Saccharomyces cerevisiae S288C: one gene and its partners. The protein of the gene in region 2 interacts with the protein of the main gene of each other region in a biochemical or structural test. Each region holds a gene or a part of one and is shown on either strand. Other genes may lie near its edges. The genes, in order: TEN1, STN1, CDC13 and POL12.

Evidence for each region.
Region 1: the proteins of STN1 (region 2) and TEN1 form a complex in vitro, tested with the Saccharomyces cerevisiae proteins (one study listed by BioGRID).
Region 3: the proteins of STN1 (region 2) and CDC13 form a complex in vitro, tested with the Saccharomyces cerevisiae proteins (2 studies listed by BioGRID).
Region 4: the proteins of STN1 (region 2) and POL12 form a complex in vitro, tested with the Saccharomyces cerevisiae proteins (one study listed by BioGRID).

The regions. Positions count from the first base shown.
Region 1 is NC_001144.5:166,273-173,475, forward strand, and holds TEN1 (Ten1p), read right to left. Parts: upstream 1,531-7,203; coding exon 1,048-1,530; downstream 1-1,047. Other genes in the region: RLP24 (ATPase-activating ribosome biosynthesis protein), read left to right, coding at 265-864; LOT6 (flavin-dependent quinone reductase), read left to right, coding at 2,831-3,406; YLR012C (uncharacterized protein), read right to left, coding at 3,710-4,009; GAT3 (Gat3p), read left to right, coding at 5,067-5,492; PPR1 (Ppr1p), read right to left, coding at 5,996-7,203. UniProt on the Saccharomyces cerevisiae protein: Has a role in telomere length regulation and telomere end protection. Acts as an inhibitor of telomerase loading through its interaction with CDC13.
Region 2 is NC_001136.10:608,875-615,986, forward strand, and holds STN1 (Stn1p), read left to right. Parts: upstream 1-1,566; coding exon 1,567-3,051; downstream 3,052-7,112. Other genes in the region: PDC2 (Pdc2p), read right to left, coding at 1-1,207; RRP8 (25S rRNA (adenine645-N1)-methyltransferase), read left to right, coding at 3,199-4,377; TVP23 (Tvp23p), read right to left, coding at 4,531-5,130; AFR1 (Afr1p), read right to left, coding at 5,414-7,112. UniProt on the Saccharomyces cerevisiae protein: Has a role in telomere length regulation and telomere end protection. Acts as an inhibitor of telomerase loading through its interaction with CDC13.
Region 3 is NC_001136.10:59,532-69,225, reverse strand, and holds CDC13 (telomere-binding protein CDC13), read left to right. Parts: upstream 1-4,207; coding exon 4,208-6,982; downstream 6,983-9,694. Other genes in the region: COP9 signalosome catalytic subunit RRI1, read left to right, coding at 1-229; translocation channel protein TIM22, read left to right, coding at 620-1,243; YDL218W (uncharacterized protein), read right to left, coding at 1,780-2,733; DTD1 (D-tyrosyl-tRNA(Tyr) deacylase), read right to left, coding at 3,461-3,848, 3,920-3,984; FMP45 (Fmp45p), read left to right, coding at 7,425-8,354; HBT1 (Hbt1p), read left to right, coding at 8,821-9,694. UniProt on the Saccharomyces cerevisiae protein: Single-stranded telomeric DNA-binding protein that regulates telomere replication. Has a role in both positive and negative regulation. Promotes [TG(1-3)] strand lengthening via interaction with EST1.
Region 4 is NC_001134.8:148,301-157,031, reverse strand, and holds POL12 (DNA-directed DNA polymerase alpha subunit POL12), read left to right. Parts: upstream 1-3,421; coding exon 3,422-5,539; downstream 5,540-8,731. Other genes in the region: STU1 (Stu1p), read left to right, coding at 1-3,184; YBL036C (pyridoxal phosphate homeostasis protein), read left to right, coding at 5,812-6,585; APL3 (Apl3p), read right to left, coding at 6,746-8,731. UniProt on the Saccharomyces cerevisiae protein: Non-catalytic component of DNA polymerase alpha, which in a complex with DNA primase (DNA polymerase alpha:primase) constitutes a replicative polymerase.

The DNA of each region.
Region 1 (7,203 bases), on a different chromosome or scaffold from region 2:
CGAACTCAGCGGAGTGAAAAATTTTCACTCGTCTTTTATTAAATAATGTATTTCTAAACTCATCTCATCTCATCCCACCCTATCTCCAACTTACATCAGTTTCTATCTTGATCCGTGATATACCACTTTTAAGTTCTTCGACTTGTGATTTGAAAGATATTGCTATTCAAGCGTGAGTTGTCCATATTGTTACCACCACCTCCCCGTGATTTACATTCAGAAACTAAAAGGAAAAGGAAGTAGAAGTTTAGTAAGTATAAAAAAATGAGAATTTATCAATGCCATTTTTGCTCATCCCCATGTTATCCAGGTCATGGGATCATGTTTGTGCGTAACGATGCTAAAGAGTTTAGGTTCTGCCGTTCTAAGTGTCACAAGGCATTCAAGCAACGTCGTAACCCAAGAAAACTAAAATGGACCAAAGCTTTCAGAAAGGCTGCCGGAAAAGAATTGGCTGTGGATTCTACCTTGACTTTTGCCCAAAGAAGAAATGTCCCTGTTAGATACAATAGAGAGTTAGTTGCCACAACTTTGAAGGCTATGGCTAGAATCGAAGAAATTAGACAAAAACGTGAAAGAGCCTTCTACAAGAATAGAATGAGAGGTAACAAAGAAAAGGACTTCTTAAGAGATAAGAAATTGGTCGAATCTAACCCAGAATTATTGAGAATCAGAGAAGTTGAAATTGCCAGAAAGTTGGCTAAAGAACAAGAAAGAGCTGAATCAGTATCCGAACAAGAGGAATCTGAAGAAGAAGAGGAGGATATGGAAATCGACAGTGACGAGGAAGAGGAAGAACAATTGGAAAAGCAAAAGATTCTGCTAAAGAACAGAAGAAGAAATACAAAGAAAATTGCTTTTTAGTTAGAACAGAACCGGGCTAATTGCCTCTTTCCTTTCTTTTCTCATACTTATTTCATGGGATAAATAAGAATCACCTGTATACTATTATTTACATTACATAACATTACAATAACTATTTTCAAGGGTCCTCTTACATTCTTATCAAAGGTATTATATAATCTCAGTATATGCCAAACGTCTGACTTAGGAGTTAGAGATGTTCAGAAACTTCTCACCAAGTGGTGATTTGACAAATTCACAGAAATCACGAACGTCATTCCTGGATAGTATCTTAAAATCAATGATTTCAAAAATTGGCGGACTTTGGTGTATTCCATACCATACCCCAATGCGAACATCCAGTACCTGCCCATTTATCAATCTCAAATCATCTTTATGGGCTGAAAATAATCTTTCGCTCATATACAAACGCATCTCCTCTGCGCCATTTGTTGAATTGAGGCAATGAAGATTTCTAACTATCATTTGACAGAAAAAACCTTTAATGAATTCTTCATCCGATTTACAGAACAAGAAATCTACTAATCGAACAACAATCCTGAATCTTTTGGACGGATGAATAATGTTTGGTTCCATTCCGTTTCCACCGTAAACATTGTTATGAATATCGTAATTCGTTGCTATTTTATCCTTCAAACATTTTAAGTCTAGAACTAACTGGCTCATATAACACTGTCGTAGTTCTCTAAAAAGAGCAAATAGAGCTGTATGTAACCAATACAATATAGTGAATTATGTCCTAGAATAAGGGCATTCATTATTCTCCATCTCTGCTTCAGAGAAAAAAAAAAGAAAAAGAAAAAATAACGACAACTGCAGGACTCGAACCTGCGCGGGCAAAGCCCAAAAGATTTCTAATCTTTCGCCTTAACCACTCGGCCAAGTTGCCATATGACTATTGATTTATATCATATTACGAGCCCAAATAATACTGGGGTGTTTTGACAATCCTAATATAAACAGTCTTCGAGAAGTAACCAGTTGTCAAAACGGATTATCAGCTTGATTCAAGGAATGTTAACTGTCCTATATCATATAAAATATGAATCATACTAAATGGTGGAAGCACGGATCTTGGATCTAAACTAATTGTTCAGGCATTTATATGTTTGGGTAGTTTGGCTAAGGGAGGCCGGGTTTTATCTCATGTTGTTCGTTTTGTTATAGGATTGTTTCATATGTATTTTATGAACGTTTAGGATAATGTATTGTCAGGCTGACGTATCTCATTTTGAGATACAATAATTTAACCTATTTTATGTTAAATATTACACAAGATGATAAATATGTCAACTAAAAACTTTAACGCCGAGCTTGGCCATTACAATATAGAGCACATGCTATGATCAAATGAATTAGATGAATACAAGCCAAGAAAGCATTTTTTTAATTACACTTCATGCTTTTGTTGGAATGAAACTGTAAAATACCATCTGTTTAGTAGTATTTGTGTTACCAGTATACCGTCACATGCGGTGTAACGTGAGGACATAAAAAAGTCATCAAAATTAATGTCCCCACGTTACACTGTATATGACAGTATATACTACTGACATGAATACTAGTCGATAGTTAATACATGATTCTTATTACAACATGATGATTACAGTCTCGTCTTGGTCTGTTGTTTGACCCTACTATTTTATGCTATTTTTTGTATCTGATTTGAATTCAAGGCAATTGTTGTAATTCCATTCTTGGCATAACCCTGTGTAGATTCTACAGATAAGCTGCTTTTTTCTTTGAGTGGTGCCCCCGTTGTTTATTACCCGTCAGTATCATAACATTTGAGCATCTCACATGGTTACGAATGTAAATATGAATCAAAGAAGGTGCAAAATCAAAAAAAATCGAAAGATTTGACATGCCTATTGAAAAGGGAAAGTTGTATATCTATCAATTGTTAATTAGTTACTTGGTCATCTCCATTACCAGCTGAGGTGCTTAGTCGACAACCGCATTAAACATGAAAGTGGGTATTATAATGGGTTCTGTGAGGGCAAAGAGGGTATGCCCAGAAATTGCAGCATACGTAAAACGTACAATTGAAAATAGCGAAGAATTAATAGACCAGAAGCTGAAAATACAAGTAGTAGATTTACAACAGATTGCTCTTCCCTTATATGAAGATGATGACGAACTGATCCCTGCGCAAATAAAGAGCGTGGATGAGTATGCAGACAGCAAAACTCGATCGTGGAGTCGCATCGTAAATGCATTAGATATTATTGTATTCGTTACACCTCAATATAATTGGGGGTATCCAGCAGCCTTAAAAAATGCAATTGATCGTCTTTACCATGAATGGCACGGAAAACCTGCCCTGGTGGTAAGCTACGGCGGTCATGGCGGTAGTAAGTGTAATGACCAACTTCAAGAGGTACTACATGGTTTGAAGATGAATGTTATAGGTGGAGTGGCGGTGAAAATACCGGTAGGTACGATACCGTTACCCGAGGACATTGTACCACAACTCAGCGTGCACAATGAAGAGATCCTGCAATTACTCGCATCGTGCATCGAAACAACGAGGAATAAATAAACCATAAAATTTAACTGTAGTCGCAATAAAAGATGAAAAGCTAACACAATTATCATAGGACACTGTAATCCAGACTTTAATTAGTATTAAGTATTGAGTACAAAGTACAAAGTATTATACTAACGGTAGTTTGGGCTCTTCGATTACCCATACACTTTTAATGGACTAATTTCATCAAGTTTCATTCGAAAATTTTCTTAAAATATATATATGCGTAGTGGTATAGTATTCATATTTCATGAACTTATTTCATAAAAAAAGATAAAGCAAACCTAATATTTGGATCGGCGCTCGAAATTATTCTCAGTATTCTTCAGCATTAGACATCTTTAACATATCAATCTTTAAAAGGTTTCTTCTTCTTCTGTAGCTCGGAATATAAGCATTCATATATGACCATGTTGTAACGCGATCGAACCAAGCAACTTCTTCTTGTGCAAATTTCCTAGCAATACCAGGCACACCTCCTTGACGATCAAATGCAATTCTTTCAGTCTCTTGTTCAAAATCTTTTTGACATAAAGCCAGGTATTTTTCCTGTTGTTCAGGTTGCAGTTGAAGATACTGCTGGTAGGTGATTTCTTTGTAATAGACAGTCTTCATTTGAATATGTTCGAGACTTTTTCTCTTAATCTCTATGAATATTTTCTGTCTTGAAGCTGCCGTCTTCATAGAATGTTGTTCTATTATCCACCTCGAACATGGCCTTTTTATACGTTTTTACATTAAACATCCCCTTCATATTAGTTTGTTCTCGACTTAATTCTACTCATGCTTCTGACATTTTTTCATGCCAAGACCGGCCCTGAAAAAGGGTCCGGATATACGGATAGCGCCACACATTCAATTAGGGGAAGTATTATTTGATACATTGTCAGCACACAGCGATTTAACCCATTATTTGGCATGACAAGCAAGCTATTCGACAGTGAAAAATGCACAGAACATTCAAAATTATACTTATAATATGACTCTTTTCTTTTATTGCAGTTGGTATTATATACATATATATATATATATATATATGTATATGTTCCCCGAGACAATGGTTTTATTTCCAAAAAAAGTGTAAGTAAGTTATTTTCTGTGTATAAAAAAATAAAAGAAGCCAGATGAAGTGCCAGGTGGCGTACCAGGACTTCAGCTTTCTTTAGTTTGCATAATGAAAGTATCACTTACAGCTCCCTTGAAGGATTAGACGCTATTAACCCCGATGAAAACGCATCAACAAAACCTTTAACACAGTACTTATTTGGTGCAATACATACTCACACAAACACCTGTAGAAAATCCCCTTATATGAAAATCCCTTTTTTTTCTTGGCAAGTATTTCTGATAAAATGCGGACAACATTACCTGCTTAGCCGCCTGCCACAGAAAATAAGTAGGCTTCTCTGTAAAATGGAATAATAGGCTAGAGGTCAAAAACCTCCTCTTCAGTCATATCTATGTTTTTAAGGGTCTAGGGTCCAATTTGATGGAAAAGAACAAATGGTCGAGCATGTTAATTAATATTTGTTGCTCTGTTTGAAGAGTATATTATAAGACGAGAGGTTCTTTGAGGGAGCTTATCTTACCTTTTCTTGATTTGAAACAATTTCATTAAATGTAAACAATTATCAACTAGAAGCAAATATAAAGCCAGAAGGAAGAATTTGCTATGAACATTAAGACTTTGTGTCATCCAGAATATAAAAGAATCTCCGTTGAATCGTTATTGAATCCGGTAGAGGAGACAATAGACTGCGAAAAACCTCACTCTCAAACAAAAATCAATACTGCTAAACCCATTAGTGCATCTTTGTATGTCACAACGAATAATACTGCTGTTGTTCAGCACAATGTCCAAAAGAGGAAAGGCGTCACCAGGAGATGTCCACAGTGTGCGGTGATAAAAACTTCTCCGCAATGGAGAGAGGGTCCTGATGGAGAGGTGACATTGTGTAATGCCTGTGGATTATTTTATAGAAAAATATTTTTGGTTTTTGGCAAGGATCTGGCAAAACGGTACTTTAACGAAATAAAAGGTGTGAGCGTCAAACGAAAAGTTCCAAAGAGCCTCTATGGAGTTACAAGAACGCGTTAAGAGAATTTATTTCTGCTCGGAATGTTATATACTTATGTCAAAGCAGTGATTATACATTTATCGACTTTAAACAGTTGATAACGAACATTATGTGTTATTCGAAAGTCAAAGTGCCATACAAAACAAGTGGTTTCTCAGTTCTTGCAATTTTTCTTTATCAGCGTAGTCCCAGAAAAAAAAATCATCACTGGAAATGTAAGATGAATTCAAGTATCAAGTGCCGTTGGTATTATAGTTTATCAATTAATACGTAAATATATATATATATATATATATATATATATATGACTATAGTGGCATACTTCTCAATGGACTGTTGCTTCTATCATTTTATACATGCGTTCAACTTTGAAGATTATCACAAAAACCTCAAACTTTTCAATTAATCTGCCCCGGTCATTTAAGTTAGCTCTTTTAGGACTCTCATGTTTTCAAAAAATAGATTGAAAAGAGCATTGGTGGCCCTACTTTCAATCCATTGATCATGATTCTTCGAGCTATCGCTAAAATATTCCACCGGATTCAGAGTTCTTTCCTTTACTGATATCGTAAGAAGACTCGCCTTCGTTTCCGTTACCAGACCTGACAAAAAACTCATCCCATACAGATCCCGAAGTAACCTGGAAAAGGATATCCATGATATCTTGATTATTGGTATACGACTGGCAATTCAATGCAGAAGACGTATTTGTAGAAGCACTTTCATTTATCACTTGATTACCTTCGCTTACATCTAAAGTATTAAACTGGGAAACATTGCTGTGTTTTTCCAGTTCGGTAAAAAATTCATCTAGAGGTATATCAAAAGGTGCTTTTTCTTCAAAATTGGTTCTATTAAAAACCTTGTTATCAAAAGTACCGTCGTCAAAACCAAGTACGTTCGTTTTTTTATCATAACTTGACATGCGGTTTGCCTGAGAGGTTAGGGGATTTGAATCCGAAAATATCCCTTTGGCATCATTTATTTGCATAAATTTTAACTTTATTACAACTGATGATAAAATTTTGTAACTCGTGTAACAGGTTTTCGCAGATTCGCAAAAACCTATCAGATTCTTCAGTACTATCAACACTTTTTCAGTGTACTCTGACACTTTTTCTTGACAATCATTTATGTTGTTTTTTGAGTAAAAATTTACGTAAAGGTAAGTCATACCTGTCATGAACATGTTATGAACTGCTACCCACGTGTAACCAATTTTTTTATTGACACAAAGATTGTAAAATACGTCTATGGTGCCCTTCGTACTGTCCAGGACAATTTTAAAAGCGGTATCATTCAAAGTAGGGAATTTTGGAGAAAGTCCATAAAGAATGCTCTTCGAGTAATGATAGTTCAGATCAAACCAGATGCTGTTAAATTTGCAATTCATCATCTCAAAGTTTTTGGGAACGTCCACTTGGAACCAACGCTCAAGCTCATTGTAGGTTTCAATCCGCCAGCTCTCGAGATCCATAAACCTCCTCGGCAATTCTGCACCGGGCGCGTAGAGTATTCTCACTATACTAGCTTGGATTCTTCTGATTTTATACATGGCCAATGCGATAACTTTTGAAGACGGATTTGGGCTTGGTAAGTCTGAGTAGTCGTCAATTTCTCGGTTAGTTAATGTGATGAAGGAATCGTCCAAAAGGCTAGGATACCTGGTGGTGATGCTTTCTTCAGGTATACCAAAAGGTCGACCAAAATACGAGCAAATTTGCCGATCTA
Region 2 (7,112 bases):
TGATAGCATCAACGGGTATATCATCCCAAGCTTTTTTAATAAATTTGAATGCATTTGACATTGTGAGTTGACTCTGCTCAAAGCTAATCAAACATTTTTTACCATTGGGTATGCATTCGTTCCGTTCTGATTTATTTTTATTTTGGATATTCTTCGAAATTCTATTTTGCAAGTCAATGAGCGCCTGATACTGTTGTATTCTGTATCGTGTTTTGAATTCATCCCAGACACCCCAGTTAAATGGCAAAAACTTTGAATTTGAGGAAGTGTATACAAGTTTTATATTTTGAAGGCGCAAATTAATTATTCGATGACAGCAAGAATCATCCAAAACAATCCAAATCTTCCTATTCACAGCAACCAACCTCTTATCCCACCTGACTAACCAGTTGTGGAAAAGATTGCTCGTTAGCCATGCTTTCCTGTTACTATGGTATGAGATATCAAATTTCTTAGCCATCTTAGTACCCAACATTGATTGTGACACAGGATCATTCGGTTCATTGGGGAAATAATTCCTGAATGATTTGTAACTATCATATTTGCCCACGACAACAGGTTTTAACTTTTCAGAGCCATCTAAATTGGAGCACAGCATGACAGTTGCCACCTCTATACGCCTTTGAATGCTACTTGCTTCATATTGAGCATAATCCAACGGTAGGTTGTAGGAGAGAAACGCTTCATCTAAAGTGAATAAATCCTTTGGAGGAATTTTGGAGAAATAAGCCTTCAATACATCCCTCTCTTCAAATGTCCAGACTTTTGGGGTTTTGGGTAACTCTTCGTCTAAAACAGAAATATTGACATCCATTTTTGATAAAAAATTCGAAATCCATTTATAACTAAAAGAACCATTTCCCTCGCGATGCTCCGCAGGAATTCTGTGCCAAACAGCTTGTGCAGTGTCTTGAATAATAGGTGACGTTATAGGGATTCCATTCCACAAACTTTGAGAAATCCATTCTTGTAAAATTTTCCGAACCAAAAGATTATTTGGCTTCCTTAATCTATTCGCATCTTTTTCATGCTCTTTACAATTCATATAAGTTGATTTCCTTGCCAACAAACGCGATATTGTGCCTTGGGATGGAATTTTTGGCAGCTGGAACGTCTCATAAGCCCATTTTGCCAATTCAAGTTGCGTCCACTTTGGGTGCCTCTCCGCCATTAGACAAATATTATATCTTTGCTGAATGGAAAGCATGCTGGTTATAATAAAGCTGTCTCTTTACTGCTTGGTGTTACCACAAAATTCAAAACGCGAACTAGTCACGATTGATCAAACTTTGCTGATTTCATTCAAATCTTGCAACTGATTTTTAAGCAGCTATTGGTTTTGATAATTTCTTACTTTCAAGTAATTGACTTCGATGGGCAAAGTCACTCAGAACGGAAATATGCAGCAGCTATTCTAACAACAAAACCACGAATCACACCAAAAAGAAGTATGTAAAGGCATGGAAAAAGAAGTAAGCATTGGAATATATGAAATCCTGCTTGTTGATATTCCATTTCTGTGCGAAAAAAGAGCAATAAGCTGGCTTTTAATAATGGGTTGGAGCCATGGATAAGTACGGACATATAGCTCATCAAGAAGGCGATGTTTGTTATTATATTCCAAGGCTGTTCAAATACAACAGTTATTATAGTGGGACAGAGGACGTTCGAATATTTGTTGGAGATTTAAAGTACCGGATGAGAGTTTCTTTGCAAATTTGCGAAAAGTATTATGATAGGCGGTTGTCGATGTTGTTCTGGAAAAATCATCCTTTACAGCAAATACACCTTATTGGCTGCATCATTGGACTCCAGTTCAAATGGATTGGGAAACAAGAATACATTTTTTTTCAGTTGGACGATTGTACTTCAGACTCTTCATTGGTGGGTTATACTAGTGACATGAGATTCTTAACATGTAAAGTTAAGAAGGATAGCATCCTATCATGGGGGTTGAACATAACCGATTTGATAGGCTTAACTCTTCATGTCTACGGGCAAGCAAGTTTGAACTATCAAGAGCTTCAAGTTGAATATTTAAGATTATGCTACAGTTTAACGGAAGAAATAGATCATTGGAAAATCACAATGAACATGCGTGAGCAACTTGACACGCCTTGGTCCTTAAGCGATTTTGTAATTGGAGAATTGTTCACGCAAGAGCAAGAGTGGACACCTGAGACATCACAGATTGAGGTAGTAAACCCGGATTTTGTAGGTATAGGGTACAAAACCCCAGAAAGTAAAAGAAATGAAACTACTTTCATCGAGCAACTGCAAGAAGAACGCTTGAAGGATGAATTAGAAATTATTAGTCCATACAATAGCACAGATACTTCGAATAGTGTGCATTCCTTGTCATTTCGGTTTGTATCGTCGCTAAAGGATTTTCCTGAAACTCACTTTTTGAATTCAGGTGATCAAATTGACAACGGCAATGACGAACAGTTAAAAAAACTAGAATATCAAAGCGCTAATCTACCTGTGATGATTCCCAATAGGACATCAGCAAAGTCAAACTTGATGTTGATCCTATTAGGACTACAAATGAAAGAGATTTCTAATTCTGACCTTTACAAACTAAAGGAAGTACGCAGCGTAGTAACTAGCTTAGCATCGTTTTTGTTTCAACAACAAAATGTTGGCGTCATGAAATCTTTTGACTCTTTGGAAAAGGAAGCGTTTCGAGACCTGGTTAATCGTCTAGTCAGCCAGGGTTTGATCGGATTAAAAGATAAAACAAGTGAGACATTTGATTTGCTTCCTCTAAAAAATCTTTTTGAATATGCTGAAAAACGTATATCAGTTCTAATGAAGCTACAATGTTATACAGGCACTGTGCAATTAAGTCATGTTCAGGAAAAGCTACATTTGCCGTACATAACAACGAACGGCATCGTTGATGTTTTCAAAGAATGTCTTAAAAGGACAAAGAAACAGTATCCTGAGGTACTAAAAAATTGGTGGATTGATCTTGATCCGAAGAATGGTATGGAGGACCAAAACAGTGGAATATTATTACATTTGGAATACGCAGCAGCATATTCATAATTTGTTAGAAAACTCGCATCGTCAATAACGGCGCATCTCTCTAGGCCTGAAAAATTTTGCGATGAGCTCAAAATAAGATACTATAACTTTATGCATATATTGTATATATATTATATCAAACAAATAAGGACGTTAACGAAATTTTATATGGCCTTATTTAACGTAGAAGGTTGGTCTATTAAGACAAAAACCGTCGCTTTTGATAACAAGACTAATAAGTCTTCAAAAGATAAAAAAAAAAATAATAGAAAAAATGGCAAACTTACAAGAGAACAGAAGTTGAAAGAAGAGACAGAGGCTGAGTTGAAGGAACAAGTGGAAGACATTCCTTCCGAAGGATCAGTAGCCAAAGACATCCCAAAAAAAAACCAAGAGAAAAGTGATCAAAATGAAACGAGCAAGAAACGCAAGCACGATGAAGAAGCCCCTCTGATGCAAGTAAAAGAAAATATTGAAAAACCTACAAAGAAGCAACTAACCCCTTTACAACAAAAGATGATGGCTAAACTGACTGGTTCTAGATTTAGATGGATCAATGAACAACTGTATACAATTAGCTCTGATGAAGCTTTGAAATTAATAAAAGAACAACCACAATTATTTGACGAATATCATGATGGTTTTAGATCACAAGTGCAAGCATGGCCGGAAAATCCAGTTGATGTTTTTGTTGACCAAATTCGTTATAGATGCATGAAACCTGTGAATGCTCCAGGTGGGTTACCAGGTCTTAAGGATAGTAAAGAAATAGTTATTGCTGATATGGGGTGTGGTGAAGCTCAATTAGCATTAGAAATCAACAATTTTTTCAAAAATTACAATAAGAAAGCGAAGAAATATTTGAAAAGACGCCATAAAGTCCACAGTTTTGATTTGAAGAAAGCTAACGAAAGAATAACTGTGGCAGATATTAGAAATGTGCCGCTACCAGATGAGTCCTGTACTATAGTGGTCTTCTGCCTGGCTCTAATGGGTACAAATTTCCTCGATTTCATAAAAGAAGCTTATAGGATTTTAGCGCCAAGGGGTGAATTATGGATCGCAGAAATTAAATCAAGGTTTAGTGACGGCAAAGGTAATGAATTTGTAGACGCTTTGAAGCTGATGGGATTTTTTCACAAAAAGACCTTCGACGAGAATAAGATGTTTACAAGATTCGAATTTTTCAAGCCACCTGCGGAGATTATTGAAGAGAGAAGGCAGAAATTGGAAAGAAGACAAAAGTTTATTGAAGTTGAAACTGAGAAGGAAGAATTAGAAAAGAAAAGACGGAAAATTGCCGAAGGAAAATGGCTCTTGAAGCCCTGTATTTATAAAAGAAGATAACGACTTCATCCGTCATTTTCATATTTTAATATTGTTTTTTCTTTTGTATACTATATTTATACATATAATTGTATTCTTTTCCTGTAGTACATTGCGTAAAGTAAAAATCATCTAGAAGAAGTACTCCACAATGTTCACATGAGGGACAAGGTTTTATTGTCTCTGGAAAAACGATTGGATATTAGCCAGCCTTGAAAGATTTTCAAAGCCCGGAACAGAAGGAAGAGCGAACCAATTATTAGTATCTTGACCGTCAGATTGTCCACTATTGGGCTCCCATCTATCGCAACAACGAAATCCATACGTGTTCCAGGCGGTCAGACACATTGCAACAATGACCAAAATCAGGTAGAATATTTTCAGTCTTAAAAGACACAACACAGCGAAGACACCCCAGATTACGGGTGTCACATACATCGACCACCAGAATAACTTAGAATCGATGGCATTTATTGGTGGGCCCGGCGCATATTGCTTATATGATTCGAAAGTAAAATTAGAATCTTTGTTCACATCTGTAGAATCATACCACCAGCGTAATTGGACCAGTTTCCGACCTGTAATGTTTTTTGTTAAGTAAAAGTCAAAAGAAAGTAAAAGAACGACAGTGATGAATTGAGGTGTGAAATTCAAAAACATTGATCCTATGATATAAAATACAATGGGAACTGCCTTACCTGCCAGATGAAATGATAGTAGCAACGGGTGCGACGATTTTAAAATTGTGTTGTAGAAATTTCTTGCCTGGTCCATGTTTCATTCGTAATTAGAGCACCAGCAGGTTTATAAAAGCGTATTGAACCGTAAATCCTTTAAGAACCACGCTTTTCTACATTTACATTATGTACAGTTAAAATGGAAACGAAATCCCTTTTCACCCAAAGGCGCATTGCGGACAAATAATAGGTTCGAGGTCAAGGTAAACAGGAAGCAAGATGCAAAAGAAGTAACTGGAATGGAATGTATACATTGATATATAAATATGTATGACGCCTTCTATTGCAAAAAATAAACTGGATTATGTTACGTTAATAACTCAAATTAAATAATGTGTAAAGCACTTGCTGTTCTCATGGACAACCATCTCATTTTTTTTGTAAGAGTTAAGTTCAAGTTTGATCTCATTCATGGCACTATTCATGCTTGGATGTACTTTCATCATCCACAACAATCTGTGGCGATTCATAATGAATTCCGGATTAGCTCTCTCATATGCATTCGATGACCAAGTGCTTGCTAAACATACTTCTTTTGCAAACCGGACATCTTTTTTTATTGGTTTTGGAGGTGTTTCGACTTTATCAAATGAGGAATCTGGCAGCGAATTCCTTCTATCTTCGAATCTGATATACTCCCAGTCATTTCTCAACCTATTTACCATGTCGTTCCCAACATGCATTGGTAAGCTTATTGGACCTGACAGAGACTGTCGCAAATCTGTCGATATGTTGTAGAAGTATCGTGCAGATTCATTGTCATCTAATGAAGGCCTCTTGGACGATCTTGGTGGTGGTTGATTTCTCGTGTCGATTATATATTCACCGAGCTTTGAAAATTCTTCGATTATGGTCTTGTCGATCAAACCTTCATTGACATTATGCTTTTCGGTATCTCGAAAAGAAACCTTGCCATCGTCGTTGTGCGAGGTCTCGTGGAGCTTTTGTCGTATTTCTAATTGCCTTCGCCTCAAATCGTATTTATCATTTTCCTTGGACAACAGATCATCAAAAATTGAATCTGTATCCATTAGAGTTTCGTCGTCGTCAAATTCAATGCCGTCCAGATTTGCATCCATTAATTCAATATCATTCTCAGCTTCAGAATTTCCATCAGAATGCGTAACCATATCATCGATAGGAATTCTCCTTCTTTTTGTATCCTTTTTTCCATGCTTTGTATTCGAGTTTCCTGAAGTACGCCATAATTTCTTCAAAACAGAACCCAGTTTCAACTTCGATTGTGACTTTATACATCTATATTTCTCAGTGCCCAGAATAGTCTTTTTCTTTCTATCAAATAGGCCTGAATTAGTTGTTGGCTTAGTTTTTTCCTTAGTTGATAAATCCAATTTTTCTATATGGCTACCATGTTTTTCATTTACCGTATTTTCGAAGCAATAAGATATAGTTACAGTTTTATTTTCATAACCGTCATCATCATCAGTTTGACTTTCTGGCAAGCTGGTCAGGGTATTAACAGCAGATATCGGAGAGGTTGATGAAACCGAACTTTTTATTGTTGAAGGAACTGAAGTGTTCAGCTCCAAGCTATTTACACCGTAGCCTGTATCATTGGGAGGAATATGTATGACTGATGTCCCATTATGAGGCCCCACAAAATCTTTTGATAAATTGCGACCTTTCTTCTCGCTGAATTTGAATAAAGAAGAGTCTCTTGAATTTAATTCAGGCTTTTTCAAGCTGTGGGTGCATTTTCCATCAAGTTTTGGCTTGTATATTTCGCCATTGGGAAATTGAAAGCTTCTTTTCATTTTAGAGCGCTGCAGTTGATAAGGTGTTAATTCTTTATATACTCCGAAAGTGTACTGTGGCTTCTGGTATTGGCTCACATAATCTTGATCATTATTGAACCCCTCATGGTAAGAGTTTCTTTCCCTAACTGTGAATAGCGCAGTTCTCTTTCTTTGCTGGGCGGCTGTCATTGAACAGGACCTTACTGGAAATTTTCTAGCTGCTGTCACAGACCTACAGTCTATCTCGCCACTATAAATGTGT
Region 3 (9,694 bases), 550 kb from region 2:
GAGCATTCATGTAAATCGCGTGGAAAGAAGCAGCAGGTCTACCGACAATTTTCACAATTCTAAAAAACGCATGAACAGCAATCAGGAAAGATGTCATGATGAGGGCAATGATATGTTACAGAGAAATGTCTTGGAGACAGATTATGCAAGAGCAAAAAATCGAATACTTGCGTCAAAGATAAAACAATATGAGCGGTTACGTTTTTACAAGGACACCTTTACATTATGAATTCCTAACGTTGCTCCAATGACGCTGCAATAGCTTATGTTTATCTGCAACGTACTTTTAATAGTTATTCCTTCTTGAATCTCTATAAGTATATCTATACCGGGTGACAATTTGATATTTTCGTACGCCGTTATGTGTTGGTTTTTGGTCTTACTGATAAAATGGCATCGAGCTTACAACTGAAGAGAAAGACGATGCATCAGTCAACTTAATTCTCTAATAAAACAGACAGCATTTCCTCGGATCCATTTCGTACATATAAAATCCGAAGCTTTTCAGGACAAAATACTATTTTTCTGTCACTACTAAACGGGATAGTACTAAACGGGATAGTAGAGATAGCTGCCAAATAAGATCAAGAAATTGTGATTTTAAATACTTTATACGAAGATGGTGTACACAGGATTTGGTTTGGAGCAGATAAGTCCAGCTCAAAAGAAACCTTATAATGAACTAACTCCGGAAGAACAGGGTGAACGGGGTGCTGAAATGATCATGAACTTCATGACTTCCTGTCCTGGAAAATCAGTTGTGAGTGGTGTAACAGGGTTTGCACTGGGTGGTGTTTTAGGCCTGTTCATGGCGTCAATGGCATATGATACACCTCTTCATACACCTACACCTGCAAATACAGCAGCAACTGCAACTGCGGGAAATATAGGTGTGGGTGGAATATCAAGAACAGTTCAGCAAATATCTGATTTACCTTTCCGGCAGCAAATGAAACTTCAATTTACCGATATGGGTAAAAAATCCTACTCTAGTGCTAAGAATTTTGGCTACATTGGTATGATATATGCTGGGGTGGAGTGTGTCATAGAGTCACTTAGAGCTAAAAATGATATTTACAACGGAGTAACCGCAGGGTTTTTTACCGGTGCTGGGCTGGCATACAAAGCTGGACCACAAGCTGCCTTAATGGGTGGTGCCGGGTTTGCTGCCTTTTCAGCTGCAATTGATTTGTATATGAAAAGTGAGGATGGTAGACCACCTCAAAACGATTTTAAAGAATGAATAGCCAATTTCGACGAACGATGAATGTTTTATATTTGTAAATATCACCTATCTTAATATTCTGCACGACCGTCCCAGAATTTAAGAACGCTTAATAATTTCCAGAACTACTGTTACTAGTAAAGCAAAAAAATTCCCTGGGAGAATTAATCATGCTTTAACTAGACTCTGGGCCGATCATTTTTGCTGGAAGAAAATGGGAAGTGTAAAAACGATACCCTTTCCAATTTTCCCATGTCGATGAATTCGAGGCGTTAGAGACTGTCGCTAAACTCAAGTGATAGTCACACTTTAATATTAATAAATTGGAAGATTTCAGTCACATATTTGACAGAGGAAAATATAAAAATAAGAAGTAATAAAAGTAAATCATTATATATAAAAAAAATTAAGCATTATTCACACCTGATAAGGATTTTCTAAAAGACGACGCCATTATTAGAACAGGAGCAATTCAAATCGTTAAGCAAAGAAAAGAAAAAGAAAAAGAAAAAGTATGTGAAGGGTATAGACGAACAAAAAGGAAATCATTGAATTTATGGCATTTGATTGACGTTCCTGTTTGGTTCTGCAGTGCTACCACTCATAGCGCCAGAGTGAGCTCCTTCTGTGACCTTTTCTTGATAAGACCGATCACCTGACTCATCCGTAGAGTAAGCGTGCTGGTCCACTGCACTGTTAGCGACATTCGCAGAACCAGGATTACGATCGTTGGTGGTGTAACGCGTCTTAGGGTCCGCTGTTGTTGTGGTGTAACGTGTGTTGGTGGTGGTAGTATGGTACTGCCCATTGGGGTCATTAGTTGCATAGCGTGCGTCGCCATTCGGTTCAGATGTGTAAGCAGCATTATCACCTGCACCTGCTTCGACATCACCGGTCCTAACATTGGTGTTATCGTAAGCAGCTGTTTCTTCAAAAGGCTCGCTTAAAGCTAGTCCGCTCCACCTATGGAGCTTTGTACCCATAGAAGCGCCGCTTCTCCACATTCCTTGGGTTTGATAACGCTTCCTGATAGGTGTTAAGACATTAATTCCCAGTAATATCACACTGATCAAAAACAGTACAAAGCAAAGGCCAGAAAAGGCGATTGCCGCCTGAGAAGAATTACATGCTCTTCTATGACTGTCAGCAGTATATTGGCCACTGTACGGATTATAGTATAATCCGTCTGCATTAGTGTTGCTACAGCTACGTTCACCTTGAGCTTTGGCAAGAACAACGAAAGCTGCTAGCCATAGCATACAAACGATCAATTCGGCACAGAAGTACATTCCTATGTAGATCAATGTGGGTAGGGCCAGACACAAAATACCTAAGGCAATCAGATAAAACACACTAATGACACCTGTTGCCAATGTGAAGTTGGTTTTCTTATTACCTCTATTTCCATAGGCGTGGATGGCATACGCCAAAAGTGACATCACCAAAACCGATGATGCAAATTGAGAAAATCTCAAAAGTGTTAAGAAAACTCCAGTAACTCGTTTCATAACGTTGATATAATATATCTATTTGGTTTATGTTCCTCAATTGAAAAAAAAAACCGTAAACTTTCGTACTGAGAACATCAAAGCATAATGGTAACGGACGCTTTGTTGAACCTTTTTATACGTTGTCTTTTAGGGAATGTTAACCAACCATCGTCATCCCTTAAGATACGGTTTCAATATCCCTTGGAAACCAAATATACGTTAAAGTCATCAACGAGTATGCTTACTGGTTTATTAGTAACACAAACCTCAAAATCTCCTTAACTATCGTCAATTTAAGGGTATATATCCCCTTTCTCATTGTGCGTTTCTTTTTCCATGCCAGGTCAATACTCTCCTATGACTGGAAATACACTGTAAACATGCTTTTAGCCCTCTGGATTAGTAAGACTGGCAGGGCATCGCTTCGCCGTCCCTTTTTTCACTTTTACATTTTTTTTTTTTCATTTTCGCCCTTAAAGTTTTTTAAAGTTGATTTACTTACTTTTATGTAAAGAATATAAAACAATTCTAGACTTTCTTGGCGAAGGTTATTGAAGGAAGCGTGAATTCAAAAATCCATCACAGATATTTTGTATTCATTTTTTTGGGGAGGGCTCCTCTCCGCTCTACTCAACTTCACTGAGAACATAACATGGAAAGATTTTGGTACTTTATCTTGCGAAAGAAAGATTGCAAATAATGTTTGCTTTTTATTTTCTTCTCGTATATATCTATAAGGTCAATCTTATTGGTCACTGTCAAGAATGATTGTAACGGGCCCTTCATTAGTTAAAGAGCAACTCATCATTGCGCCGAATTCACCATCCTTTACTTTTTCCTCACCCAAATCACTTCTTAGTAATTTTAAGAATTCTTCATAAAGTTCTTTAGCTATATGACCCTTTTGGGCCAAATGGAAATCGGGTTTAGTTCCCTTCTTGGTTTTTGCCATCAAAGTGAATTGAGACACGGATAGAATTTCACCATTGGCCTCTTTAATATTCTTCTTCCATAGATTTCTGGATTCATCTTCGAAGATTCTCAAACTAAGAACCTTTTTCGATAATTTATCTATCTCCGCCATAGAATCATCAATGGAAATACCTACTAGGAGCATATAACCATGTTTAATACTGTCACATAGATAGAGGTGTTAGTAAAAAAAATTGGTGCACTAACGAAGCTGAAAAAACCGGTAACATACCTTGAAATAACTTTTGAATCGACGACTACAGATGCTTGGCTGACTTTTTGTAAGACAATCTTCATTGTAAATCCGCTGCTGAATAATATGTGGATTATTTAATATGTACATGCAGCCTTGATTAACGTGATTATACTTTTTAAACCTTTGATATCCAAATTTTTCAACGTCATAAGAGACGCGAAGGCCTAGTGAGATGCGAAATGCTAATTCAAAATGGAAATTTAAGAATATATTCATATATGTTTCTCTTTGGATACGAATGACCGTGGAAACTATCGCCTAAAAATGGATACCTTAGAAGAGCCTGAGTGTCCTCCACATAAAAATCGTATTTTTGTGAGCTCGAGTAAAGATTTTGAAGGCTATCCCAGCAAAGCAATAGTTCCCGTGCAATTCGTGGCGCTTTTAACCTCAATACACCTGACTGAAACAAAATGTTTGCTAGGCTTTTCTAATTTTGAGAGGCGAGGAGATCAATCCCAAGAAGATCAATATTTAATCAAACTGAAGTTCAAAGATAGGGGCTCGGAGAGGTTAGCCCGGATCACTATTTCCTTACTTTGCCAATACTTTGATATTGAACTGCCAGATTTAGATTCTGACTCAGGCGCATCCCCAACAGTAATACTGAGAGATATTCACCTTGAAAGGTTATGTTTTTCAAGTTGTAAAGCTTTATATGTATCAAAACACGGGAACTATACTCTATTCTTAGAGGACATAAAACCGTTGGATTTGGTAAGTGTGATAAGCACCATATCTACAAAATCGACAAATAGCAGCAAGCATTCGTCATCAGAACTTATTTCAGAATGTGATTTGAACAACTCACTTGTGGATATCTTCAACAATTTAATAGAAATGAATAGAGACGAGAAAAACAGGTTTAAATTTGTAAAGTTGATTCACTACGATATAGAACTAAAAAAGTTCGTTCAAGACCAACAAAAGGTATTATCGCAGAAATCAAAAGCCGCAGCAATTAATCCTTTCTTTGTGCCAAATAGACTAGGGATACCTTACATTGAATCCCAAAACGAATTCAACTCGCAGCTTATGACGCTTAATGTAGATGAACCGACCACAGATATAAGCAACATGGGAGAGGAAATGCATGACAGCGCAGATCCCATTGAGGATTCAGATTCCTCAACTACCTCCTCTACCGGGAAATATTTCAGCTCAAAATCCTACATCCAGTCACAGACACCTGAAAGGAAAACAAGCGTACCAAATAATTGGCACGATGATGATTCCGGAAGCAAGAGGAAGAGAAAGCTTTCTTTCCACAGTCCGAACGCGTCCTCAATCCGCAAAGCCATCAGTTATGAGCAACTTTCCCTAGCTAGTGTAGGCTCAGTTGAAAGGTTAGAGGGCAAAATTGTTGGCATGAATCCACCTCAATTCGCCAGTATAAATGAGTTCAAATATTGCACATTGAAATTATATTTTACGCAGCTCTTACCAAATGTCCCAGACAAGGTCCTGGTGCCAGGCGTCAATTGCATTGAGATCGTTATCCCGACGAGAGAGCGAATCTGTGAGCTCTTCGGTGTTTTAAACTGTCAAAGCGACAAGATATCGGATATTTTACTACTGGAAAAGCCTGATCGAATTTCCGTCGAAGTTGAAAGGATCCTGTGGGACAATGACAAGACCGCCAGCCCAGGTATGGCAGTATGGAGTTTGAAGAACATTAGCACCGACACGCAGGCGCAGGCGCAGGTGCAGGTGCCTGCGCAATCGTCGGCGTCAATCGATCCGTCTCGCACAAGGATGAGCAAAATGGCAAGGAAAGACCCCACCATCGAATTCTGTCAGTTGGGACTCGACACTTTTGAGACCAAATACATAACAATGTTTGGCATGCTAGTCTCCTGCTCGTTTGATAAACCTGCCTTTATATCTTTTGTCTTTAGCGATTTTACCAAGAACGATATCGTCCAAAACTATCTTTACGACAGATATCTAATAGATTACGAGAACAAGTTAGAGCTGAACGAGGGCTTCAAAGCCATCATGTACAAAAACCAATTCGAAACGTTTGACTCTAAGCTCAGAAAAATATTCAACAACGGGCTAAGAGATCTACAGAACGGCCGCGATGAAAACCTTTCGCAATACGGCATAGTTTGTAAGATGAATATAAAAGTGAAAATGTACAACGGCAAATTGAATGCCATTGTGCGCGAATGTGAGCCGGTCCCGCATTCCCAAATAAGCAGCATCGCCTCGCCTTCACAGTGCGAACATTTAAGATTGTTCTACCAACGAGCGTTCAAGAGAATTGGCGAATCCGCAATTTCACGCTATTTCGAAGAGTACCGGAGGTTTTTCCCCATACATAGAAACGGTTCTCATCTCGCGAAACTGAGGTTCGATGAAGTAAAGCATGAACCAAAAAAATCACCCACTACACCAGCTCTCGCAGAACACATACCCGACCTGAATGCAGACGTGTCCTCCTTCGATGTAAAGTTCACAGATATATCTTCTCTCTTGGACTCCTCGGCTCGCCTCCCGCGCCCACAGCAAACACACAAGAGCAACACATTATACAGTTGCGAGGGCCGTATCATCGCCATCGAGTACCACGCATCTGATCTCTGCTTCCATATCACGAATGAGCTCCCACTTTTACAAACCCGCGGCTTGGCCCCGGAGCGAGTGTTGCAACTACACATCATTACCTCCAAGAACTTTGCTTATTTTTTCAACCGCTCAAGCGCCTACTTACAGCGTCAGCCTCTTGAGGAAAAATATACGCAATTGGCACAATTTCTCGGCCATTCATTTAAATTCAATATAACCTCCTCGCTCACGCTGTTCCCTGACACTACCGTGGCACTCCAGATCTGGTGCCCAATTGAATGCACCTTTCGGGAATTGCAACAACAGCTGGCCCATCCGAAGGTTGCAGCGGCTCCTGATTCAGGGAGTCTTGATTGCGCAATTAATGCTACCGTCAATCCTCTGCGACTTCTTGCCGCGCAAAATGGCGTCACCGTGAAAAAGGAGGAGGATAATGACGATGACGCCGGAGCCGTTCCCACCTCGTAAGACATGATCCGCGCAGCCCAACGCGGCGGTGCCAAATTGCAGTGACGTCTCGGAGTAATATAAAAAAAAAAGACCAAATAACCAAATTTAAGGGTGCTCTGAATATAAGGGAGTGGAACGTTTTCACACGAAGGAAAAGGGAAAGAGGGGAGTGGTAAGAAGCAAGAGTCAATGAAAGGTCTTCCTTCCTTCTTGATGCTAAAACAAGGATAGTCTGGAATGGGGAGGAGCATTCGGCGCAGATGCCGACATATAAAAGGATGGTTGCTTTGCAACAGTTACTTGATCTTGCTTTGTTCTCTTGATTAGTTATCCGTTAGATGCAAACTTTAAGTACAGTAATTTTGAAGTGAATTAAAAAGAAAGAGGTATTTACGTTTAACGCTTATACTTTCCTTTTTATCCAAGTAACAAGTAACACTAATCACTATAATCTACCGCTATGATTTTCAAAAGGTTCGTTAATTTGCTTGTGTTTTTATTCCTACTCGGTGCTGGCTTATTGACGTTTTTTCTTATTCTGTCAGGAGGCAGAGAATCTGGAACGCTGAAAAATTTTTATTGGTTACAGGCTGATACAAACGGCTTTAACAGCGCTCCATCGACCACGAGATGGTACAATTACAATTGGTGCGGCTACGAAGACGGCCAGCTAGCTAATTGCTCTAGCAGGGCGCCCGCCAAGCCTTTCTCTCCCAGAGACAATTTTGGTAACTCTGTCAATTTACCATCGTCGTTCAGAAACAACCGGGATACCTACTATTATCTATCCAGGGTTGGATGGGCCATGCTGCTGATTTCCCTATTTTTCATCGTACTGGCGCTGGTACCCGGCTTTCTGGCTACCTTCCTTCCTTTCAAGGCAGTGCCAGTCCTGTACTGTGTGTTGTCCTGGTTGGCCTTTTTCTTCATTATATTGGCTGCATGCTTGTACACAGGTTGCTATGTGAAGGCCAGAAAGACCTTCCGCAACAGCGGGAGGTCTGCAAGGCTGGGACCCAAAAACTTTGCGTTCATCTGGACTTCGGTCTTCTTGATGCTCGTGAACGCCATTTGGTCCACTATATTCAGTGCTACCCACAAGGCCCACTCTACCTACTCGGACCACGACATGTATGCCCAATATGAAAGCCCTTCTGTTGACACCGGTGCTCAAATGGAGAAATCCACTTACAATAGTGGGGCGACGGACGGCGCGGGCCCTATCACAGCCGCACCTGTGGTTGGACAGCCTCAACCTACAACCACCACTACTCCGGCTGGCAATGGCAAGTTCTTTCAAAAACTGAAAACAAGAAAGCAGGTGCCATCAGCTGAGTTAGAACCAGCTGGGGATGGTGGTCTTGCCGGGCCAGTGACGGTACGCGACTAGGAAGGAAATAATCACCATAAAATACTTCCTAATTTTTTTTTTCTTCCTACATTCGCAGTACCATAACTCTGCATCTACCTCCAACCGAAATATTTTTTTGTGACATGGTATAATCCATATGTATCGTGCTGAAATTTTTTCTTGGAGATTTTCATTTATTCTCCACCATTCTTTCTCGCCTCCCCTCCTCCTTTTCCTTCTAATAATAACTTAGTTCTTTTTCCTTCTTCATTAAAGAGACTAAGAAAAAAAAAACGTCAATAATACCCGGCACCTTAGTGTAATTAATAGTAATAATATTGAATTTAATTCTTTAATAATACCACCCCCTCAAGAAAATTAATATATAATACTAACTAACTCAAAAACACCTTTTTTTATATGTAACTGTAGAGATAAGAATAATACCGAACACCGTGAAGATTTCCCAGTGGAGAGCTATCAAGAATATCACCCAACCCAAGATATGAATATGAACGAGTCCATTTCCAAAGATGGTCAAGGCGAAGAAGAACAAAATAATTTTTCGTTTGGTGGTAAGCCCGGTTCCTATGATTCCAATTCAGATTCTGCTCAACGCAAAAAGTCTTTCAGTACTACAAAGCCGACCGAATATAACTTACCAAAAGAACAGCCCGAATCAACGTCCAAGAATTTGGAAACCAAGGCTAAAAACATTCTGTTACCTTGGAGGAAGAAGCATAATAAAGACTCGGAAACTCCACACGAAGACACTGAGGCGGACGCTAACCGCCGTGCCAACGTAACTTCTGATGTGAACCCTGTTTCTGCCGACACCAAGTCAAGTTCTGGCCCTAATGCTACTATTACTACCCATGGATACTCTTATGTCAAAACAACGACACCCGCTGCTACAAGTGAGCAATCCAAAGTGAAAACGTCACCTCCCACTAGCCATGAACATTCAAATATAAAGGCGTCCCCCACTGCGCATAGACATTCCAAAGGTGATGCAGGGCATCCAAGTATTGCAACCACTCATAACCACAGCACTTCCAAAGCTGCCACTTCTCCTGTTACTCACACGCATGGTCATTCCAGTGCTACCACTTCCCCTGTCACTCACACACATGGTCATGCCAGTGTGAAAACCACATCTCCTACCAATACTCATGAGCATTCTAAAGCGAATACTGGTCCATCAGCCACTGCAACTACACATGGACATATCAACGTCAAAACTACCCACCCTGTTAGCCATGGTCACTCTGGTTCAAGCACTGGTCCTAAATCCACCGCTGCTGCACAGGATCATTCCAGTACTAAAACTAACCCTTCAGTTACTCATGGACATACAAGTGTTAAAGATAACTCCTCAG
Region 4 (8,731 bases), on a different chromosome or scaffold from region 2:
ATTCCAATTATCTTTTTTATTAATAAATGAGAAAACCGTAACACCGAGATTTTGCTCTGCAATACTGCTGCGTAGCTTCCTGATTAAGTTCAACGACTCCAATCTTTCGCTCAACAATTCAAATACAACTTCGCCAACCTCAAAGTTGGAGAATAACATCATATACATCGAAGAATGGCTAAAAAAGGGCATTTCAGATTCACAGACAACCGTTAGAGAGGCAATGAGGTTAACTTTTTGGTATTTCTACAAATGTTATCCTACAAATGCCAAAAGATTATTGAGTTCTTCCTTTTCTCCACAGTTGAAAAAAGCAACAGAATTGGCAATCCCTGCTCATTTGAATATAAACTATCAAGTTTCCAGGGTGTCCTCTACTGCCTCCGCCTCCTCTGCAACGTCTCGATTGTACTCTCACTCTTCGAATAATTCTTCAAGAAAAACCAGTTTACTGGAGCAGAAAAGGAACTATCCAAGTTATGCCCAACCGACTCAATCTTCCTCCACCTCCCTACTCAACGCTCCTGCAGTCACAGCTGGTGGAAGTGTCATAGCCAGTAAACTATCAAATAAGCTGAAAACAAACTTAAGGTCTACTAGTGAATATTCAAGTAAAGAAAATGAAAAAAGGGCAAGGCATCATGACAGTATGAACTCTGTTTCAAACAGCAACACCAAAGATAATAATAATGTTACTAAAAGAAAAGTTAGTGCCCCTCCTTCTTCTACTGCCGCCACAAAAGTATCTGAAAATTACACAAATTTTGATGACTTTCCGTCAAACCAAATCGACTTGACTGATGAGTTATCAAATAGTTACTCTAACCCGTTGATAAAGAAATATATGGATAAAAATGATGTTTCGATGTCATCTTCTCCAATCTCATTAAAAGGCAGTAATAAACTTGGTGAATATGAAACCCTTTACAAAAAATTCAATGATGCTTCGTTTCCAGCTCAGATCAAAGATGCTTTACAGTATTTACAAAAGGAGTTACTGTTGACATCGCAACAGTCATCATCAGCCCCAAAATTTGAATTTCCCATGATTATGAAAAAGCTACGCCAAATTATGATAAAGTCACCAAATGATTTCAAGCCATTTTTGAGTATAGAGAAGTTTACAAATGGAGTTCCCTTAAATTACCTCATTGAGCTATATTCTATTAATAGTTTTGATTACGCGGAAATCTTAAAGAATAGAATGAATCCTGAAAAGCCCTACGAGCTTACTAACTTGATTATAACTATCGCGGATTTATTCAATTTCTTGAATGCCAATAATTGTCCGAATGATTTCAAACTATACTATATGAAATACAAAACCACTTTTTTCAATTATAATTTCAAGTTACTTTTAGAGATTTTCCGTAACTTGAACATAAAACATGATAACACTCTGAGGTCAGGAACGAACGATCTCATGCCTAAAATATCAATGATACTCTTTCAAATCTACGGTAAAGAGTTTGACTACACATGTTATTTCAATCTAATTTTTGAAATTTATAAATTCGATAATAATCGTTTTAATAAATTGCTAGCTGATTTTGACATTGTATCTACCAAGATGAAAATCTGTCATGAACTTGAAAAGAAGGATGCCAACTTTAAGGTAGAAGACATCATTTCTAGAGAAAGTTCTGTAAGCTTCACTCCCATCGACAATAAAAAATCTGAAGGGGATGAGGAATCCGACGATGCTGTAGACGAAAATGATGTTAAGAAATGCATGGAAATGACAATGATTAATCCCTTCAAAAACTTGGAAACTGATAAAACACTAGAGTTGAAGAATAACGTTGGAAAAAGAACATCAAGCACAGACAGCGTAGTTATTCATGATGATAATGACAAAGATAAAAAGCTTTCAGAAATGACGAAAATAGTAAGTGTTTATCAACTGGACCAGCCAAACCCAGCAAAGGAGGAAGATGATATAGATATGGAAAATTCTCAAAAATCTGATTTGAATTTAAGTGAAATTTTTCAAAACAGTGGTGAAAATACCGAAAGGAAATTGAAGGACGATAATGAACCAACAGTAAAATTCAGTACAGATCCTCCAAAGATAATAAATGAGCCAGAAAAACTTATTGGAAATGGGAATGAGAATGAAAAGCCTGATTTGGAAACAATGTCACCAATCAAAATAAACGGGGACGAGAATATGGGTCAAAAGCAAAGGATCACAGTAAAGAGAGAAAGAGACGTAGCACTAACTGAACAAGACATAAACTCCAAAAAGATGAAACTAGTTAATAACAAAAAATCAGAGAAGATGCATTTGCTTATCATGGATAATTTCCCAAGGGATTCCTTGACTGTATATGAAATTAGTCATCTTTTAATGGTTGATTCTAATGGCAACACTTTGATGGATTTTGATGTCTATTTCAATCACATGTCAAAGGCAATAAACAGGATAAAAAGTGGATCGTTCACTATGAAACATATAAATTACCTGATCGAACCCTTGATTACTTGTTTTCAAAATCAAAAAATGACCGATTGGTTGACGAATGAAAATGGTTTTGATGAACTACTGGATGTTGCTATTATGCTTTTGAAATCTACTGATGACACGCCTTCAATTCCATCAAAAATATCCAGTAAGTCCATAATTCTCGTTCATTGTCTTTTGGTTTGGAAAAAGTTTCTAAATACACTAAGCGAGAATGCCGACGATGATGGCGTTTCGGTGAGAATGTGTTTCGAAGAAGTATGGGAACAGATCCTTTTAATGCTTAATAAATTTTCTGATTATGGAAACGAAATCTATAAATTAGCGCAAGAGTTCAGGGACAGTCTAATGTTATCGCACTTTTTCAAAAAACATTCGGCAACAAGAATTCTAAGCATGTTGGTTACTGAAATTCAGCCTGACACCGCTGGTGTGAAAGAAACATTTTTAATTGAGACCTTATGGAAGATGCTGCAATCTCCTACCATTTGCCAACAATTCAAGAAATCTAATATATCAGAGATTATCCAAACAATGAGCTATTTCATTATGGGGACTGATAATACTTCGTGGAACTTCACCAGTGCCGTGGTATTAGCTCGTTGTTTGAGAGTCCTCCAAACTACTCCAGATTATACTGAGCAAGAAACCGAACGATTATTCGATTGTTTGCCTAAGAATGTCTTTAAAATGATCATGTTCATCGCCTCAAACGAATAGAGAATAGCGTGGTAGACGCGTAATTTTTTTTTACCGTGACGCGTCTCACCAGAGTTTCTTAGTTCTTTCTCTTTTCTAAAACTGTAATAATATGAGCTCTTTGTAGACACATATAACATTTTGTTTCATATACATAATATATTTGCATATAAAAATATCAAGATAATTGATTGTCAATTGGTTCAACAAAGCTTGAAGGTAAATTTAGGCAGGAGCAAGTGACTGAAAAAAAAAAAAATGAGCGGATCTATCGATGTCATCACTCATTTTGGGCCTGATGCAGACAAGCCGGAAATCATCACTGCATTAGAGAATTTAACTAAACTGCATGCATTGTCCGTCGAGGATCTATACATTAAATGGGAGCAGTTCTCCAATCAAAGGCGTCAAACTCACACAGATCTGACTTCCAAGAACATAGATGAGTTTAAACAATTTTTACAATTACAAATGGAAAAGCGTGCTAACCAAATTTCATCGTCCTCTAAGGTAAACACATCCACAAAAAAACCAGTGATTAAAAAAAGTTTGAATTCAAGTCCCTTGTTTGGCCTTAGTATTCCAAAGACTCCGACTTTAAAAAAAAGAAAGTTACATGGTCCCTTTTCACTCAGTGATTCCAAGCAAACATATAATGTAGGCTCTGAGGCAGAAACAAATGAAAAAGGAAATAGTTCTTTAAAATTGGAGTTTACTCCAGGCATGGCAGAAGATGCTGTGGGTGACAGTGCTCCATTGTCCCACGCTAAAAGCTCGGATGCCAAGACTCCCGGCTCGTCGACATTCCAAACTCCAACAACAAACACTCCTACCACATCGAGGCAAAATGTTCCTGCTGGTGAAATTTTGGATTCTTTGAACCCTGAAAATATTGAAATATCATCTGGTAATCCAAATGTAGGCCTTCTTTCGACTGAAGAACCATCATATAACCAGGTCAAAGTAGAACCATTTTATGATGCTAAAAAGTATAAATTCAGAACAATGAGGCAAAACTTACAGGAAGCGTCTGATGTCCTCGATGATCAAATTGAATCGTTTACTAAGATTATTCAAAATCACTATAAGTTATCTCCAAACGACTTCGCTGATCCAACTATTCAATCTCAGTCCGAAATTTATGCTGTTGGAAGGATAGTTCCAGATTCGCCGACCTACGACAAGTTTTTGAATCCAGAATCGCTTTCCCTAGAGACCTCAAGAATGGGCGGCGTTGGAAGAAGGGTAAGGTTAGATCTATCGCAGGTCAACGAGCTTTCGTTTTTCTTAGGCCAAATTGTGGCATTCAAAGGTAAAAATGCTAATGGGGATTACTTCACCGTTAACTCTATTTTGCCGCTACCTTATCCAAACTCCCCAGTGTCCACATCGCAGGAACTGCAGGAGTTTCAAGCAAATTTGGAAGGTTCTTCTTTGAAGGTTATCGTGACCTGTGGCCCATACTTTGCAAATGATAACTTCTCCCTCGAATTGTTGCAAGAATTTATCGATAGTATAAATAATGAGGTAAAACCTCACGTCTTGATAATGTTTGGCCCATTTATAGATATCACCCATCCTCTGATAGCGAGTGGTAAATTGCCAAATTTTCCCCAGTTCAAGACACAGCCCAAAACATTGGACGAGCTTTTTTTGAAGTTATTTACTCCTATTCTAAAAACCATATCACCACATATCCAAACCGTATTGATACCCTCCACAAAAGATGCAATTTCTAATCACGCCGCATATCCACAAGCTTCTTTAATTAGAAAGGCTTTACAGCTGCCTAAAAGGAACTTCAAATGCATGGCTAATCCTTCATCTTTTCAAATAAATGAGATATACTTCGGTTGCTCAAACGTTGATACATTCAAAGATCTAAAGGAAGTCATAAAAGGCGGTACTACCTCATCAAGATATAGATTAGATCGTGTTTCTGAGCATATTTTACAACAGCGCAGGTATTACCCCATATTTCCAGGTAGTATTCGTACAAGAATAAAACCAAAAGACGTATCTACGAAGAAGGAAACCAATGATATGGAAAGCAAAGAAGAAAAAGTTTATGAACATATATCTGGTGCAGATTTAGACGTGAGTTATCTGGGACTAACAGAGTTTGTTGGTGGGTTCTCGCCTGACATAATGATTATACCCAGTGAATTACAACACTTTGCAAGAGTTGTCCAAAACGTAGTTGTTATAAATCCCGGAAGATTTATTAGAGCAACAGGTAACAGGGGATCCTATGCACAAATTACTGTCCAATGCCCTGATCTTGAAGACGGGAAATTGACGCTTGTTGAAGGTGAAGAGCCAGTTTATCTACACAACGTGTGGAAGCGCGCTAGAGTTGACTTGATTGCTAGTTGATATATTTAATTCAAACTTAACTAATGGAATAGCTCAAGGTAGCACCAAAAAGTATTGTTATACACCTGAACTATCGACCTTGAAACTGGCTCTATAACTTACTTATTGATTAAAGACCATAACATGATCAGTATCCGGGTAATAAAGTAACGTGATCAGAGGCCAGAGAAAATGTTCATAAGTAGAGACTACTCTTAAATGCATAATAAAAAAAAAAACTGATAGGCATCACTCTTTCCTTTTTGACTAAGATTCCAGCATCACATTGCAATATGTCCACTGGTATTACTTATGATGAAGATAGAAAGACACAATTAATTGCCCAATACGAATCTGTAAGGGAAGTTGTGAATGCAGAGGCAAAAAATGTTCATGTTAATGAAAATGCCTCCAAAATTTTATTATTGGTTGTTTCGAAATTGAAACCAGCTAGCGATATACAAATTCTTTACGACCATGGTGTGAGGGAGTTCGGGGAAAACTATGTTCAAGAGTTGATCGAAAAGGCAAAATTACTACCAGACGATATCAAGTGGCACTTTATTGGCGGTTTGCAAACGAATAAATGTAAAGATTTGGCTAAAGTGCCAAATTTATACTCTGTTGAAACAATCGACTCCTTGAAGAAAGCCAAAAAATTAAACGAATCGAGGGCTAAATTTCAACCAGATTGCAACCCAATATTGTGTAATGTTCAAATTAATACCTCCCATGAGGATCAAAAATCGGGCTTGAATAATGAAGCAGAAATATTTGAAGTCATCGACTTCTTCTTATCCGAAGAATGCAAGTATATTAAGTTGAATGGGTTAATGACTATTGGTTCATGGAACGTCTCTCATGAAGATAGCAAAGAAAACAGAGACTTTGCTACGCTGGTTGAGTGGAAGAAGAAGATTGATGCTAAATTTGGTACATCATTGAAATTGTCTATGGGGATGAGTGCTGATTTCAGGGAGGCTATAAGGCAAGGAACAGCGGAAGTCAGAATTGGTACCGACATTTTTGGTGCTAGACCTCCAAAAAATGAAGCTAGAATCATTTAGTAGGTTGAATGAACTGAGATTTTATACGAAGATCTTTTTTTTTATAGCATTACAACACAAAATGAAAATAAATAGAATCTCAAATATATATATATATGTGTGTGTGTGTTTATATATGTACAATGCGGATGATTTTCATTATAGTGAATTTGAGAAAATTTTACTTCGTAAGCACATTCTTTATACATTCGACAATGTACTTCGCCAGGGGACCGGCCGTCGTTGTTTTACAGGTAACATTAACTGTTCCATTTACCTGGTATTGTATCTTCATTAAACAACCGAAGTTTCCCTCACTTTTCGTATGAATAATACCCGAGACAAACAATGTACTACGAACACTGGTCTGATCGACTATATCAAAGCCCAACCTCTTCACTGTTTGCGTCAATAGTAGAAGTCCGTCTTCTAAACTGATTGTTTCAACTTTTCTAAAATCCTTGTTGAGCTTTATGCCAGATTTTTGGTATTCTCCCTCTTTTCCCAAAGCATCGCTCAAAGTCTTCCAACGGCTGATGAACTGTGCCAAATTCAAATGCATGCTAGGATTGACATCGCTGCTAATTAGTGTTGTAGTCATGCCTATGGCAGTTTTCAAATTGATAGTGTTTGTACTACCGCCACATTTGAAATGAATTGCCAAAATTGGACTATCTTCAACGTCGAAAGGTTTTCTTATTGAAACTTCATAGCTTTGCTCTGCCCTTTTATGGGGCCCAATAGTAGCAGTAGAAGGTGTATTAATATTCATAATTAAATACTCAGGATTACCTTGCGTTTTTGAAGGGATAATCTGTGTGGATAATCCCGTGATTTCCCACTCAGTCAGGTTAATGAAGGCAAGAGATATATGAAACACGTATGGCTGTTGTGCATCAGGAGTGGTTATCCGATAGAAAACTTTCATCAAAGATGATGTGAAAAGCACACCCTGCTTATGCGAAATCATTCTTGTGAAACCTTCCCTCCAATTTGGAGCGAGGATCTGCCTTGAATAATAAGAGTCCTTTCCTGAAAAGTCTTCAGATGAACTAATTTTGGAATTTACATCATCAATGGTGTTCCTACGAGATGGTGGGGGCATGGGAACCATGATCGACCTGGAAGAGTTTGCTCTTTTTGATAGTAAGTCAGGCGTGGAGGAGGATGCTTCGGATGGTGTATTTATTAAAGTTGTGCTACCCGCTGATGCCGGCAGTGACCCTAATCTCTTCAATAATGGATTAGATTTGCTGTTAAAAGGCGGCATTGGTTCAAATAAAATTTGCAAAATATCTGTATTTCCGTTCACCTTAGCCAGTTGAATAATGTTGAGATATTCGAAGGATCTTGTTTGCAACTCAATATCAAGAGAGTTCAATTCCAATTGGAAAAATTTGATGACGTTGGAGCCGATCTCAGGTGAGGTCTTGTACAACTTGATCATCGTAGTCAATATCATCGCCTTAGCCACATTTGGTGCACTAAAATATTTCTCGGCAAACAAAGTAAATAAATTTGCGCTTGAAATCCTGTCTGTTATGAGACTTGAGTACTCCCCTAGTAGAAAAGCCGCAGCTTTAATAATAGCTTCAGATGCTTGCTTTTTACATAAATAGTCCACCAACCGTTCACATGTTATTCTATGTAAAGATGGATTGTTCACTACAATTTGACATAGTCGTTGCCAGATCTCATCATCGTTAATAGTTGTATTTGAAGTTAATGATAGCAACTGCAACGAAATAATTACAAACCAATTGATATCCGTGGCATATTTCTCGGTCAAAATAGCTATTTTAACTGCAATATCAGATTTTATTTGCGGTTCAGCAAGATTTTTCGGAGATAAAATATACTGCAGTAAACCGTCCACAATAATCTTAACGTTTTCAACATCAGTAAAGGTATATAACAAGTCAACAACCTTCCTAACAATAGATGAATCTCTTTCTGTGTTCAAAAGATGAAAAATCATATCCAAATTCTTGTAACGAACGGCATCAATTGCAGGTTTCCCGCTTGATGAGCATAATTTGACCAATGAATCTAGCGTTAAATACCGAATATTAATTTCCTTAGATGTTAGCAGGGAACATAAGGCTGTCACAGAATTGCTGATAGCTTCATCCGACGGATCTAGCTTAGAGGCGAAATTGATCAATGA